3 linked regions of the Cricetulus griseus genome follow. The main gene of each other region encodes a partner of the protein of the gene in region 2 in a complex. Links are inferred from orthologs where the notes say so. Each region holds a gene or a part of one and is shown on either strand. Other genes may lie near its edges.

The links. The genes of interacting proteins can lie anywhere in the genome.
Region 1: the proteins of Gna13 (region 2) and Gpr35 are in contact, whole or in part, in a cryo-EM structure (PDB 8H8J), measured with the Homo sapiens proteins. The link is inferred for Cricetulus griseus from reciprocal best matches to the Homo sapiens genes GNA13 and GPR35. Residues at the interface, in NP_006563.2 of Homo sapiens: Lys46, Arg47, Leu48, Val49, Lys214, Asn215, Val216, Phe218, Arg331, Gln337, Gln338, Lys340, Pro341, Leu342, Tyr343, Phe359, Arg360, Asp361, Lys363, Asp364, Ile366, Leu367, His368, Asn370, Leu371, Lys372, Gln373, Leu374, Met375, Leu376; in NP_005292.2 of Homo sapiens: Phe45, Gln51, Thr53, Thr55, Met59, Asp113, Arg114, Ala117, Val118, Pro121, Leu122, Arg123, Arg125, Arg128, Ala197, Leu198, Arg201, Pro202, Thr204, Asp205, Gly207, Gln208, Ala211, Ala215, Met218, Val219, Ala280, Lys281, Glu282.
Region 3: the proteins of Gna13 (region 2) and S1pr2 are in contact, whole or in part, in a cryo-EM structure (PDB 7T6B), measured with the Homo sapiens proteins. The link is inferred for Cricetulus griseus from reciprocal best matches to the Homo sapiens genes GNA13 and S1PR2. Residues at the interface, in NP_006563.2 of Homo sapiens: Arg47, Val216, Phe359, Lys363, Asp364, Ile366, Leu367, His368, Asp369, Asn370, Leu371, Gln373, Leu374, Met375, Leu376, Gln377; in NP_004221.3 of Homo sapiens: Ser66, Met68, Tyr69, Leu72, Arg130, Ala133, Ile134, Lys136, Val137, Lys138, Leu139, Tyr140, Tyr209, Ile212, Val216, Ser219, Gln227, Thr228, Leu231, Leu232, Val235, Tyr288.

Annotation. Positions count from the first base shown.
Region 1 is NC_048595.1:444,456,490-444,459,369, reverse strand, and holds Gpr35 (G-protein coupled receptor 35), read right to left. Parts: upstream 1,584-2,880; 5' UTR 1,507-1,583; coding exon 592-1,506; downstream 1-591. UniProt on the Homo sapiens protein: G-protein coupled receptor that binds to several ligands including the tryptophan metabolite kynurenic acid (KYNA), lysophosphatidic acid (LPA) or 5-hydroxyindoleacetic acid (5-HIAA) with high affinity, leading to rapid and transient activation of numerous intracellular signaling pathways.
Region 2 is NC_048600.1:122,211,456-122,215,556, reverse strand, and holds the start of Gna13 (guanine nucleotide-binding protein subunit alpha-13), read right to left. Parts: upstream 2,820-4,101; coding exon 2,537-2,819; intron 219-2,536; coding exon 1-218. UniProt on the Homo sapiens protein: Guanine nucleotide-binding proteins (G proteins) are involved as modulators or transducers in various transmembrane signaling systems.
Region 3 is NC_048597.1:133,844,689-133,849,031, forward strand, and holds the start of S1pr2 (sphingosine 1-phosphate receptor 2), read right to left. Parts: upstream 2,892-4,343; 5' UTR 2,721-2,891; exon of another isoform or gene 1,420-2,720; intron 1-1,419. UniProt on the Homo sapiens protein: Receptor for the lysosphingolipid sphingosine 1-phosphate (S1P). S1P is a bioactive lysophospholipid that elicits diverse physiological effects on most types of cells and tissues.

The DNA.
Region 1 (2,880 bases), on a different chromosome or scaffold from region 2:
CCCACTATAAATGGAAACACCACCAAGAGGCCCGGGGCTCCAACAGCAGTGTGTTACTGATGAGTGTGGCTTTATGGCCATTGGGTATCCCGAGCTGTCATGTGCTGTAGATGACAGCCTTCCAGACCATAGGTACTGCCCTCCTGCCTAACCCTACAGTAGGCATGAAGTCTGGAGGTCCCTAAAGGAAACAGCCATTAGAGGGTCCTCTCAGAAGATGTCTCCTAGCTCTTTGAGCTGTATGTTCCTTCTTTGCCTCTTACCACATGCATCTGGGTGACACCAAGGGCCCTGCCAGGACCATCTCCCGGAGACAGCTCTATTCTAAAACCAGTGACTGGCCACCGAGGCCCCATTCTCGTGCCTCAGGGGTTCTAGATCTGGGGTGGCAGGTATGTGGTCTTGCTCCAGGGTCCTTCAAGTTGGTCTTTAGACTCTCAGTCCTCTGGTCCCTTCAGAGGAGCCTCCTATACAGACTCTCTAGGCCACCTGGGTTTCCTAGAGTGTTCAAAACCCACATTAGCTTCAGGCTGTTTTGGGGGCTCCTTGCTAACATCACAGACTCCTCTGGTCCATGGAACAGGTTCACTTCTAGGTGAGGGTCAAGCTCTGAGAATCTTGGCTCTTGTGCGGTGTATTGGAGGTGGTGGCTGACATGGATGCATCTTGGAACTCCTTGGCCATGTAGTAGTAACAGATGGCATCCAGGCAGCAGTTGGCATCTGAGAGTCTGCTTGTGAGGGACAGGGCACGCCCGAAGGTGTAACGGGTAGCACAGGTGTTCAGGCCCAGGGAGACCTGCACGGTCAGGACCACATGCAGTGGTAAGAAGCAGATGATAAACACAGCCAAATTGGCCCAGACCATGCGGGTGGCCTTGCGGGTGGCCTCTGCCTGCACTACATCAGTGGTTGGCCTCTGCACCAGCGCAGTCACAACCTGCAAAGAGCAGAAGACCACTATGGCCAGTGGCAGGTAGAAGCCCAGGAGTGAGAAGGCAATGGTGCGGAAGTTGTGCCGGGTATGGCTCCTGAAGCAGAAACCACCCTCCTGCAGCCCCAGGCGCCAGCGCACTACCAGGGAGGTGACCACTGCCACCCAGAGGGTCACACACACTGCAACGGCCTGTTGTGGGGACCGAAGCTCACGGGCACGTATCGGATGCCGCACTGCCACATAGCGGTCTACAGCAATAGCAGTGACCAAGCTTATGCTCATGTACCTGTTGACCAGGTAGATGCCCTGTGAGAGCTGGCAGATTGGTGTGTCTGAAGTGTGTCTCAGGGAGTACAGCATGAATGGCAAGGAACAGAGTAGGCAGAGGTCAGCCACAGCTAGGTTGGTCATATAGACTCGGGTCTCCGTCCACTGCTGCATGCGCCAGCAGAATACCCAGAGTGCCAGGCCATTCAGTAGCAGTCCCAGCACCAGCAGCAAAACTGAGTAGATGCCGAAGACGTAGCTGACTGACTCACTCCACACGCTGCTGTTGCAAGTTGCATTCATCGTCCCGGGGCTGCAGGAGGGTCAGGAAGTCAGTGAGAGTTGGTAGGAGGAGGAGCCCAGGGTTAGGCCCAACTCCTGTGCCAAGGCCTGCCCACCTCTGTACAGGAGCTATGGAGGAAGCATGCAACACAGTGTGAAACTCCCCTTTCCCAAGAAACCATAGAAACTGTACAAATCTCAAAGTCACCCTCAAGGCCTAACCTTTTCTCACTGGACAGGTAGGGAGACCAAAGCCTCCAGAGATGGAGGAAGACCTAATGTTGCAGTGACCAGGTCAAAGCTAGAGACAGAATGACTCCTCCCATCTCCCTGGCCTTTCTCTCCTTAGGCCAACCTGTTGCAGGGGAAAGGGGAAGGAAGGAGTGTCTACAGGTCCCGTCCAGGAAGCCTCCAATTGTCCTAGGCAGGGACTGACGCCATCAGCCTCACTCAGCATGCAACTCTCAGTAGGGAGGCCTCAGAGGCAGCCCCACCTATGGGCCCAAGGATCCCAAGGCTGGGTCTTGCAGATTTCTGCCCTCAACCTGGCTGCAAGAAGACACCTCCACTTGATTCACAGATATGGCCAGCACCCACTCTGTCTGGTCTGTCCCCGAAGCACAGGACAACAGAGGGGATATAGGACTTGAGATCACCTCTGGGAAGCCGTGGGAACTCCTGAGGTGCCACCACCAGGCCTGCATCACCCCAAGGACCCCTCCCAGGTTTGTGTCTGAGATCAGGGTGTAGGTACACAGTTCTCAGTGGTCATAGCCCTGTCCCTCCAGGACCTGGATGTACTCAGAGGCCCATGCCACTGCCATTGTCAGGAATGTCCCCACGGTCACATTCCACTGCCTGTCTACCCCCTACAATTAGGCCCAGGAGGGTTACTGAGCCCATCAAGCCCCACCCAGGTAGGCTTGGGCAGTGTGGACACTTAGGACATGGCCGGTGGCACAGCAATCACACTCCCGTCTCATCCCGCTGTCAGGCCAGCCTCGGTTACCCCGCCATAGCGGCGTCAGTGTGACTCCACAACTAACACAAGAAACTGCCAGCAAGTGCTGAGCCCAGGCACACTGGACGCCTGGCCCACCCCCTTGTTGGTTGCTGGGTACCAGGAAAGACTGGAGAATTGGATGAATCATAGCTCTCAGTTTTACTACAGGGGCTTCCTGCTGGGGAAGATGACGGGAGGGGAAGAACTGTGTTCACCAGGGAGAGTCAGGCATTAGCTGGCTGTCTGCCTTAGAAACATGGAAGGCATGTTTTCCTTTCCCACACTGGAAATGGACAAGCACCCAGCCCAGTGATTGCAGACAGGGAGGTTAATGCACGCTAGATTGAGCCAGGGCTCATTTCCTCTTTGGTCTCCAGGGAACCTATGGGCCC
Region 2 (4,101 bases):
TTCCCGGCGCCGGTCGTAGGCATTCTGTATACCACTGTCATCCCACAAGGCTTTTATAGCAGGAAGATACTGCAAAAAAACTCGAGTCTCCACCATCCCCTGGGCAGCCATGGGGGCACGGGTATCAAATGCCATCAACTTGTCACCATGGAGCTGGTTTTTGTTATCTCCCCAGGGAATATGAAGCTTCTCTCGGGCATCTACCAGCACCCTCATACCTTTGTTTAAAAAGGAAAAAAAAAAAAATGTGAGGAAGAGTCATTAAGATACCATCACAACCTTTCACCCCAGTGTTATTCAGTATTGGTTCCTTAATTTTTTTTAGCTATTACAGAACCCCCACTCCCTAAATGGAGACCAGAATCAAAACAGAACCTTTATCTTCTCAGAGGTTTAAAAAACAATTGTTCATTGTCTTAAAAGTAGAAGCCTTGGAAAGTAAATATCGATAACAAAAATCTCTCTTGGAAGGATTTTAATATGCTGTCATCCATAAAATCATGTCTGAAGTGGAAGGAGGTCAAAACCAGAAATGGAAAAAATAAATAATGCTGCCCAGCCCTGAGTCACTGTGTTCAGTCAGAGTCCTTCAGCTCCTACCAATACTTTCTTCCAGGACACTCTCAGACTCAGTTTCAAATCAGTACAGTCACCTGCTGGCTTTACAGTTACCTAAAAGCCAAACCAACTGCAAAATGATACACAAACAGAGGTCTCCACTTACTTAGGTCAATTCAAACTCAATACTCTTAGCACCAAACTGTTACTTCTGTCTCAATCTATTAGGAAGTCCTTTCTTGGGATACATGAAAAAACTGTTTTGCTTTCAACTTTCTGATCACCCCAAGAAAATAAGATGCCTAGTTAGACTTAGGCTTGATCACACAATAATGCTCAAAGTAATTCTTAGGCCCAGTATATATCAAAAAAGCAGGTGTTTACCTTACAGTGAATACTTTAGTCTATTCATTAACATAATTCTTTAAGTTCAACTGCATCAGGATACAAAGGTACCTTCAATTATGGGCTAGCAAGGTACACTACAGCCTTAGAAGAGACCTTAATTAGTTTTGTGCTAAACATTAGGGCAGACTAAATACAAGCACTCTTTACAGTTTAACTGCAGAGGTACAGGCTAAGAAAGAGCCGTGGACTGTGAGCTCTTGGCCTAGCCTTCTCCCCTCATTGCCCTACAATGCCTCCCTCTCTAGTTTTTCCCCATTTGAAATCCTGAAGAGGCGGGAGGAGAGACATGAAGGGGTTTGCTTCATGTACTTCCTGAACAACAACAAAAAACCCACTTAAAAAAAAATAAAGCCACATAACAACTGAAAAGATCTACGATCGTAGTTTGCTTCGAAGTCCCAGATAAAACAGGGTGACTCCTTAATCACTCAAAACATAGGGCTCTGTGCCTCAGTTTTGACAATGTCTTTTATGTAGAAGATACATAACACTAAAGAAAAATTTTTAAGAAAGGTGATATTTCAAATGACAAGAGCCACCTCCAAAACTTCCTTGAATGCTAGGAAATAAAGATGTCGTGTGTTTTTCACTGAGGAACAATATTTTAATTTTAAAATATTGTCAAACAGAATTTGTAACGCCCATGATCCAACACCACACATATTCACTAACTTCTGTAGGTCTCTTATGACTTTTAAGCCAAAGAGTCTTCGTAGTTAAACATACATTCATTTAAGTATTAGAAATGTTGCCCGTTTTATTCCCCCTCCTGCTCCGAGTTATTAAGCAAAAGAGAAAGAAAGCAACATGTTGAACTGTTGAGTACAAACATCCTGTAGCACTGGGGCGATAAAACCACTTGTGCTAGGTTTTTTTTTTTTTTTTTTTTTTTTTTTTTTTTTTTTTTTAATAGGCTCTCCTGATGCTAGTTCAGTAAACTCGACACCCTTGAGTTTCATACCTCTTGCCCCAAAAGGCCCCAGAGGCTGTCACTCTATGCCCTTGACAAGAGTCTCAGGGCAAAAAAAAAAAAAAAAAAAAAAAAAGTTTCCTCATTGCGGCGGTTCCAGAACTTGCTTAACTCAAGAGGTGGCCTAGGAAGCCCAGAGCTGGAAGGGTATCTGCGCCGGTTTCTAGGGTCACCCACCCACCCACCCGTGGCGGGGAGAAGAGGGAGGGGTTGAGAGTGTGGGACCTGGGGCTGCTGATGGGGTGGGCTTGTCTGGTGTGCTGGGAGGACACCAGTCGCCCTGCTGCCCGGAGTCACCCTGCTCGCCACACTTCCCTCTCGGAGGGGGCGAGGCCAGCCGAGGGGTGCGGGGCCGACCGTGACCCTCACTGGGGTAGCACGGGGGGACAGCGGGGCGCCCCGGATCTGAGGGGCCAGGGCACAGCGGCGCACGGGACGGCGCCCGAGGCGCGCCCACCCGCTCGCTCGCTCGCTCGCGGGCTCGCCCGTCCGATCTGGTCCGATCCAGTGTCCTCAGACTTGGGACCGGCGGGTGAGGGCGGTGCCCGGCCCGGCTCCCCAGGGGTCCCCGGGTCCCCGAGCCCCGCCGCGCCCCCGCACCTTTGATCACGTTGCTGTAGATGGTGGGGCGGAACTCCTCGCGCGCGCGCTGGTCGAAGTCCTGGCCGTGGATGATCCGCATCTGCTTCAGGAAGGTGGACTTGCCGCTCTCGCCCGCACCCAGCAGCAGGATCTTCACCAGCCGCTTCACGTAGGTCTTCTCCCGCGACAGGCATTTGTCGATCTCCTTGGACTTGCGCTGCTGCTCGGCCTCGCCGTTCGTCAACACGCAGCCCGGGAAGCACACGGACAGCACGGAGCGCGACGGCAGGAAGTCCGCCATCTTGCCGCCGCCGCCGCCGCCTCGGCGGGCCCCTGCGGCTCCTCCACCTCCTCCTCCGGCAGCGGCTGGCTCCGGCAAGGCGGCTGGAGGGCGGGGAGCGCAGCGGCGGCCCGAGCGCGCCCGGGGAGGGAGGGAACCCGAGGACTGACTCGCCAGGGCGGGCCGCGCCGGCCGGGGGAGGGTGGGAGGGGTGGGAGGGAGGGCGGGCCCAGGGAGGGGCGGTGGCCCTCCGGGCGTGCACGCCCCCGTCGCCCGACGGGCACGCGCACGCAGGCACGCCGCGCTGGGGAGGCCGGCGCGAGTCCCGCTCCGCCCCCCCACCGCTCGCTGGCCGAGGAGGCTGCGGCCGGGAGCGCGCGCGGTGAGAGGCGGAGCCCCCCGCGAGTCACGCGGGCCGGGCTGGGCGCGCGCCTGCCGGGCCGGACTTTCTGTTTCCCTTTAGTGCCGTCGCTTCCCGGAGCCCCGAGGCGAGTGAGCCCATCCCGATGCCACTCTCTTAGGGACTCCTTCTCTCTGCAGTTCTCACTGCCCTTTCCCCTAGTGACTCGCCCGCCGCCTGCTGTCACCTCCTATTTTGAGATCATTGGCTGGGACATTACCGCACAGACCACCGCAAGCCTGGAAGGTTCCTGGGTGCCTCCTCCTTCCTTCATCACATTTTGTCCCCCCACTCCACCACCCCCCCCTTATTTTAACTCTTGAGATAGGATTTCATCGTACAGCAAAAGCTGGCTTAAATTTGTGGCAATCCTCCTGCCTCAGCCTACCTCTCCACTGCTGGGATTACAGGCAAGCGCTTTAATCCAAGCCCACGCATTTAATTAGCAGCGACTCCCTTGCCATTCTACCATCCTGAGTCTAGAAGGATATCTAGATGTCAAATGTCTTATTGATCAACACCCCTCTGGAGCAGTTCAGGGCATTATTGATACCTGCCCTGGTTTGAGAAGAGTTAGAGTTGATGCTGTTCATGTGAGATGTGCTAGCAAGGTCTCTGGTGGCTGGCTCGCTAATGTGGATCCCACCCGAGCTTCATTTGTGACTTGGGTAATGCCTGCTGAGGTCAGTGAATGGTGGAGAGGGTGAGGTCATGGTGAAAATCCCCCTAAACCGGACACTGTGATGCGCGTTCTTCCCAAGGAAGCAGATAAGCCTACAGCATAGGACTGCGGCAGGACATTTTAGGTTTCCTGCCAGATTACAGAGGATATGACTGGCAAGAGACTTTTTTTTTTTCCTGTCATAACAGCAGATCAGGCCAGGACACCTGAAAAGACTCCTG
Region 3 (4,343 bases), on a different chromosome or scaffold from region 2:
CAAGTGAGGACAAGAGTTAGGGGCGAGGGACCAGAGAGGAGAGGAGGAAGGACAGAATTGGGTTCCTCGTGGTCATAGAAGCATGGTTAAGAAACAGCCGAAAAGATGGCAAATAAAGAAAAGACTCTAGTTTTACAACATGGAACTGAGAACTCTCTAAAGATGACGAGATGCCTGTGTTTGGGCTTTACCGCCGCTGGGTTGCTAGGAGCTTCCAGGTCCACACACCTCCGCTCAGGCCGAACCTTATGGGTTAAGGCTGAGACGTGCGGGTCACGACGGCAAGTAGAAATTAAAGGGGTGGGCTGGGAGATGTCGAGATGGCTCAGCTAAAAGCACTTGTCACCAAGCTTCTGGCCTCCTCACTCATGCCATGAAGCACACATGCCCATATAGGCATACCCACAAAGTAAATAAATGTAACCTTTAAAATGTAAATATATTAGAAAGCCCAGTGTAGCAGTGCTCTTTTAATTGCAGGATTTGGGAGAGAGAGGCAGGTGGATCTCTGTGAATTTGAGGCCAGCATGATCTACAGAGTGAGTTTCAGGACAGCCAGAACTACATAGTGAGACTCTGTCTATAAATAATTGAAAGTAAGAAGGCGAGCTCTATATAATTCAGGGGGACAGCATCATTTGAAGCCCTGGGTTTAGGATACAGAACACAAGGAAAAGAGACGAGTGAGAGGTTTTGGAGAGGGAAGGCAGATATCCAGACATGACTGCCTGACTAAAGATTAGGAGAGAGGAAGGCTGGAGGAAGGCCTGGTGGCTTAGTGGCTCTGCTCCTCTCCTTCCCAGTTCCAGAGCTCACCCATCCCTCCCCAGCAGCTGGCCAACTTCAACCCTGCAGTCACCTTTTCTCTCTTTTGGTTGCTGTGTGATTGCAGCCCCTCCCACTACTGCTGCCCACCCCGCCTGCCTGCAGGGCCTGCAGGGGAGAACTGACAGAACTGAGAACTTAATCTTCACTCCCCACCTACTCACTCTATGGCTCCCTAGGGCTCCAATGGTTAACTCCTGCTCCCATGGATAACCCTCACTAGCCTCCCAAGGCCCATTTGAATCTCAGGGCCTTCCCTATATCCTACAGACACTCCTCCGTCCCACCCCACCCCCACTCAAACATGTTTTCTGGCAGACTATATCATCTTTGGATTTTATTTGAATGCCACTTTCTAGGTCTTCAGAAACTACCTTCTCTTTTCGAGACAGGGTCTTATTGTGTATCCAGACTGACCAGGAACTCTCTATGTAGATCAGGCTGGCCTTGAACTCACAAGAATCCTCCTGCCCCAGTCTCCGGGAGTGCTGGGATTAAAGGCCTGGGGCATCGTGCACAGCCCAGCCCAGCCCATCCCCGAATTCTATCAGAGCATCTAGCTTTAATCATCAAAAATTGTCTTGTTTTCCACAGTACCCCATGAGGCCGGCTAGCAAGTTCACCCCTGATGCAAAAGAGACAGACACAAGAATGAATGAAAGGGCCCTAAACTGGAGGAAGGGCTCCCAGGAGAGCTTGGGGACATCTCAGTCCTCTTAGCAGCACCCCAACTCAGCCACTAGGCGAAGCCTGGCGCGTCTCCATGGCGACGACGGTAAGACCCGCCCGGCCCAGGCAGCACTCTCCGGCTCCTTATCAGGCCGAGGAATGCGCGGTATCCACACTCTCTGGGGCGGCGCCATCTCTCAGCCGAGACCCCGACACCGACACGCGAGCAGGATGCTCCCCTCCCCGCACCATGCAACAGGGGAAGGCGACACCTCTGCATCCCATCAGAGGGCCCCCACACCTAGATTCCCCGGGCACTGAAGAGAGGGGAAGACCCAAGCTGCAGCAGCTGCATCCCCTCTGTCCCCCGCCCCCCGCAGTGATGCTCCCATGCCCTGCCACAGGGGACCGTGGGCTCAGAAGAGTGTCGCCTAGGGCATCTAACAAGCACAGAGACGGGGGTGGGGAGGGGAGGTGGAAATCCCCGAGTGAGTCAACCGGTGCCAGAGAAGGGGGCGAGGTCCCAACACTGTGTAGCCCGCGACAATGTGGACTCCACACCACGCGTGCCTTCTTTCGCCCCTATGCCCCATCCTTGGGCTAGGATAGGAAAAGGAGGCGTCTGGACTATGCAGTACTGTTCCTTTCCGTCTGAAACAAAACAATGCTCCCGAAGGGGAGACCGCGGGAGAGGGCAACTCAGGGAAACTGAGGCAAAAAAAAAAATAGCCTTACAGGCGGTGGGGCGACGGCCTTCCCTGGGGACCCCGCCCATGAACTCGGAGCGTCCGCCGCGGCCGCTCGCGTGTAGCACCTTTCGTCCTAGCTCAAGCCGGAGACAGAGAAGAGATGCTGTACCTCTCCTCAACAACCCCACAGCCCCAAACCCGGCTTCCTGAGAGCCCCCATCCTGTCTTGCAAAGTCGCCAACCCAAAGTACTTGGATTCCGCCTTTCTCTTCAACACCAACTTCCTGCCCCGAGGAAGGCGGGGAGCTCTGTCTGGGGGTGCGCCACCGAGTAGGTGGGAAACTGCCCGGAGCGGTGGCCACGGTGCACGGGGGAGGGTGATCGGTCCCATCGGTGCAGCAGACCCTGGAGCAGCGCATGCTAAGCCTGTGTGAGCGCCTGACCCCGGGCTCGGCCCCCCCCTAGGATCCCCGCCGTCTCAGCGGACCGCGCGCCGCCCGCCCAGATCGGAACCTCCCCTTGGCCCCGCGAGCTCACCTGGCTAGGCCGGCCGGGGTCCCTGCCCTGGCCTGAGTGGCCTCGGCGTCTGCGCCCCGGGACAGCCAGTGGTAGGGTTTGGAGGCTGCTGGCTGGGCTCGGTCTACGTCCCGGAGTTGGGGACCCAGGACAAGAGGGAGGCGGGCAGAGCCGCCGCCTCCGGCCCCCACTCCCTACTCGCCCCGCCCTCCTCTCCTCCTCTTTCCGGCGGCGACTTGCAATGAATTCCAGATGTGGTCCGCCAGTCAGCCAGGGCGCGCGCTGGGGAAGCGCAGGGCCCCTTTGTCCGCACCCCCCCCTCCAGTCCTGTCCCTCCCAGCCCCCACCCGTGAGAACCACCATCTCATGATGTCACGGTCGCGTGACGTCACACCTTTCTTAACCCAGGTGGCCTAGACCTGAAACAACTGTTCCCTTCGAAAGACACTGAAGGCCTTGCTCCAGGCTTCTGCCTGGGACCTGGAAATGGAGGAAATCGTGCTTACCTACTACGGGAGGGCTCGGCAACTCAGGATTAAGCACCTACTATGTGGTCCTTCAAGAGACAAATTCCTACTTTGTGCCGCGCCCAGCCCCCAAAACAGAACTGGGTGTGGTGACACATGCGCCTGCACCTGGGACCTGGGATTTGGGAGGATCAGGAAGTTCAGACTCGCCAGGACTGGCTGGGCAAGTGAGACCCTTCTGGAAAACAACAGGCTGGGATGTGGATTCGGGCGGTGGAGTGCTTACCTAGCATGCACAATGCCCTGGGTTCTATCCTCAGCACTGCAGAAGCAGGGCATGGCGGCTTGGGCCTCTCATCCCAGCACTTGGGAAGTAGAAGCAGGTTTGACTACATGATCCTGTTGTCTCCTTCCCTCCAAACAACTCAGAGCGGAAAAAAAATCCAAAATTAAGAGTAACAACAGATCAGCTATATAGCTCACTAAGCAGGGGAAAGTGCTTGCCTGGAAGCTGACCTGAGTTCAGTCCCTGGAAGCAAAGTTGGCCTCTGACCTCCACATGACACTGTGGCATTGTCGCACCTGCATTTATACACAGATACATGTACAATAATAATAAATGCATTTTAAAGCAATAACAGGATAAATGACTTAGTGGAGCCCATTCTATATGGAGAGATAACCTTGCTCAGCCTAGACACAGGGGTGTGGGGGGTGGAGAGGTGCCTTGGTCCTGCCTTAAGGGGATGATGGGACAGACTTAGTAGACTTCCTAGGGGAGGCCTAACTCCGAGGAGAAGATGGGAGGTGGGGGGGAGGGGACGAGGAAGAGAAGAGAGAGGGGGAACTGGGATTGGAATGTAAAAAAATAAATTAATTAATAAAAAAAGAAAAAAGGAGAAACCCTGTCTCGAAAAAAAAAAAAAGAAGAAAGAAAGACAAAAACAACAGCAGGCTGTCAGTGGGTAAAGGCTCTTGCTTGCCAACAGGCCTGAAAGTCTGAGTTTGATGCCTGGTCCCACATAAAAGAAAGAGAGAACCAATTCCCACAAGTTGTGCTCTGACCTCCAAGGCCTGCTGTGACACCTGCATACACCCACGTGCACACACACAAATAATAAAATTAAAAGTGAAATTGTTTAAAGATGCAAAAGAGATGACTCAATGAGCACCCACA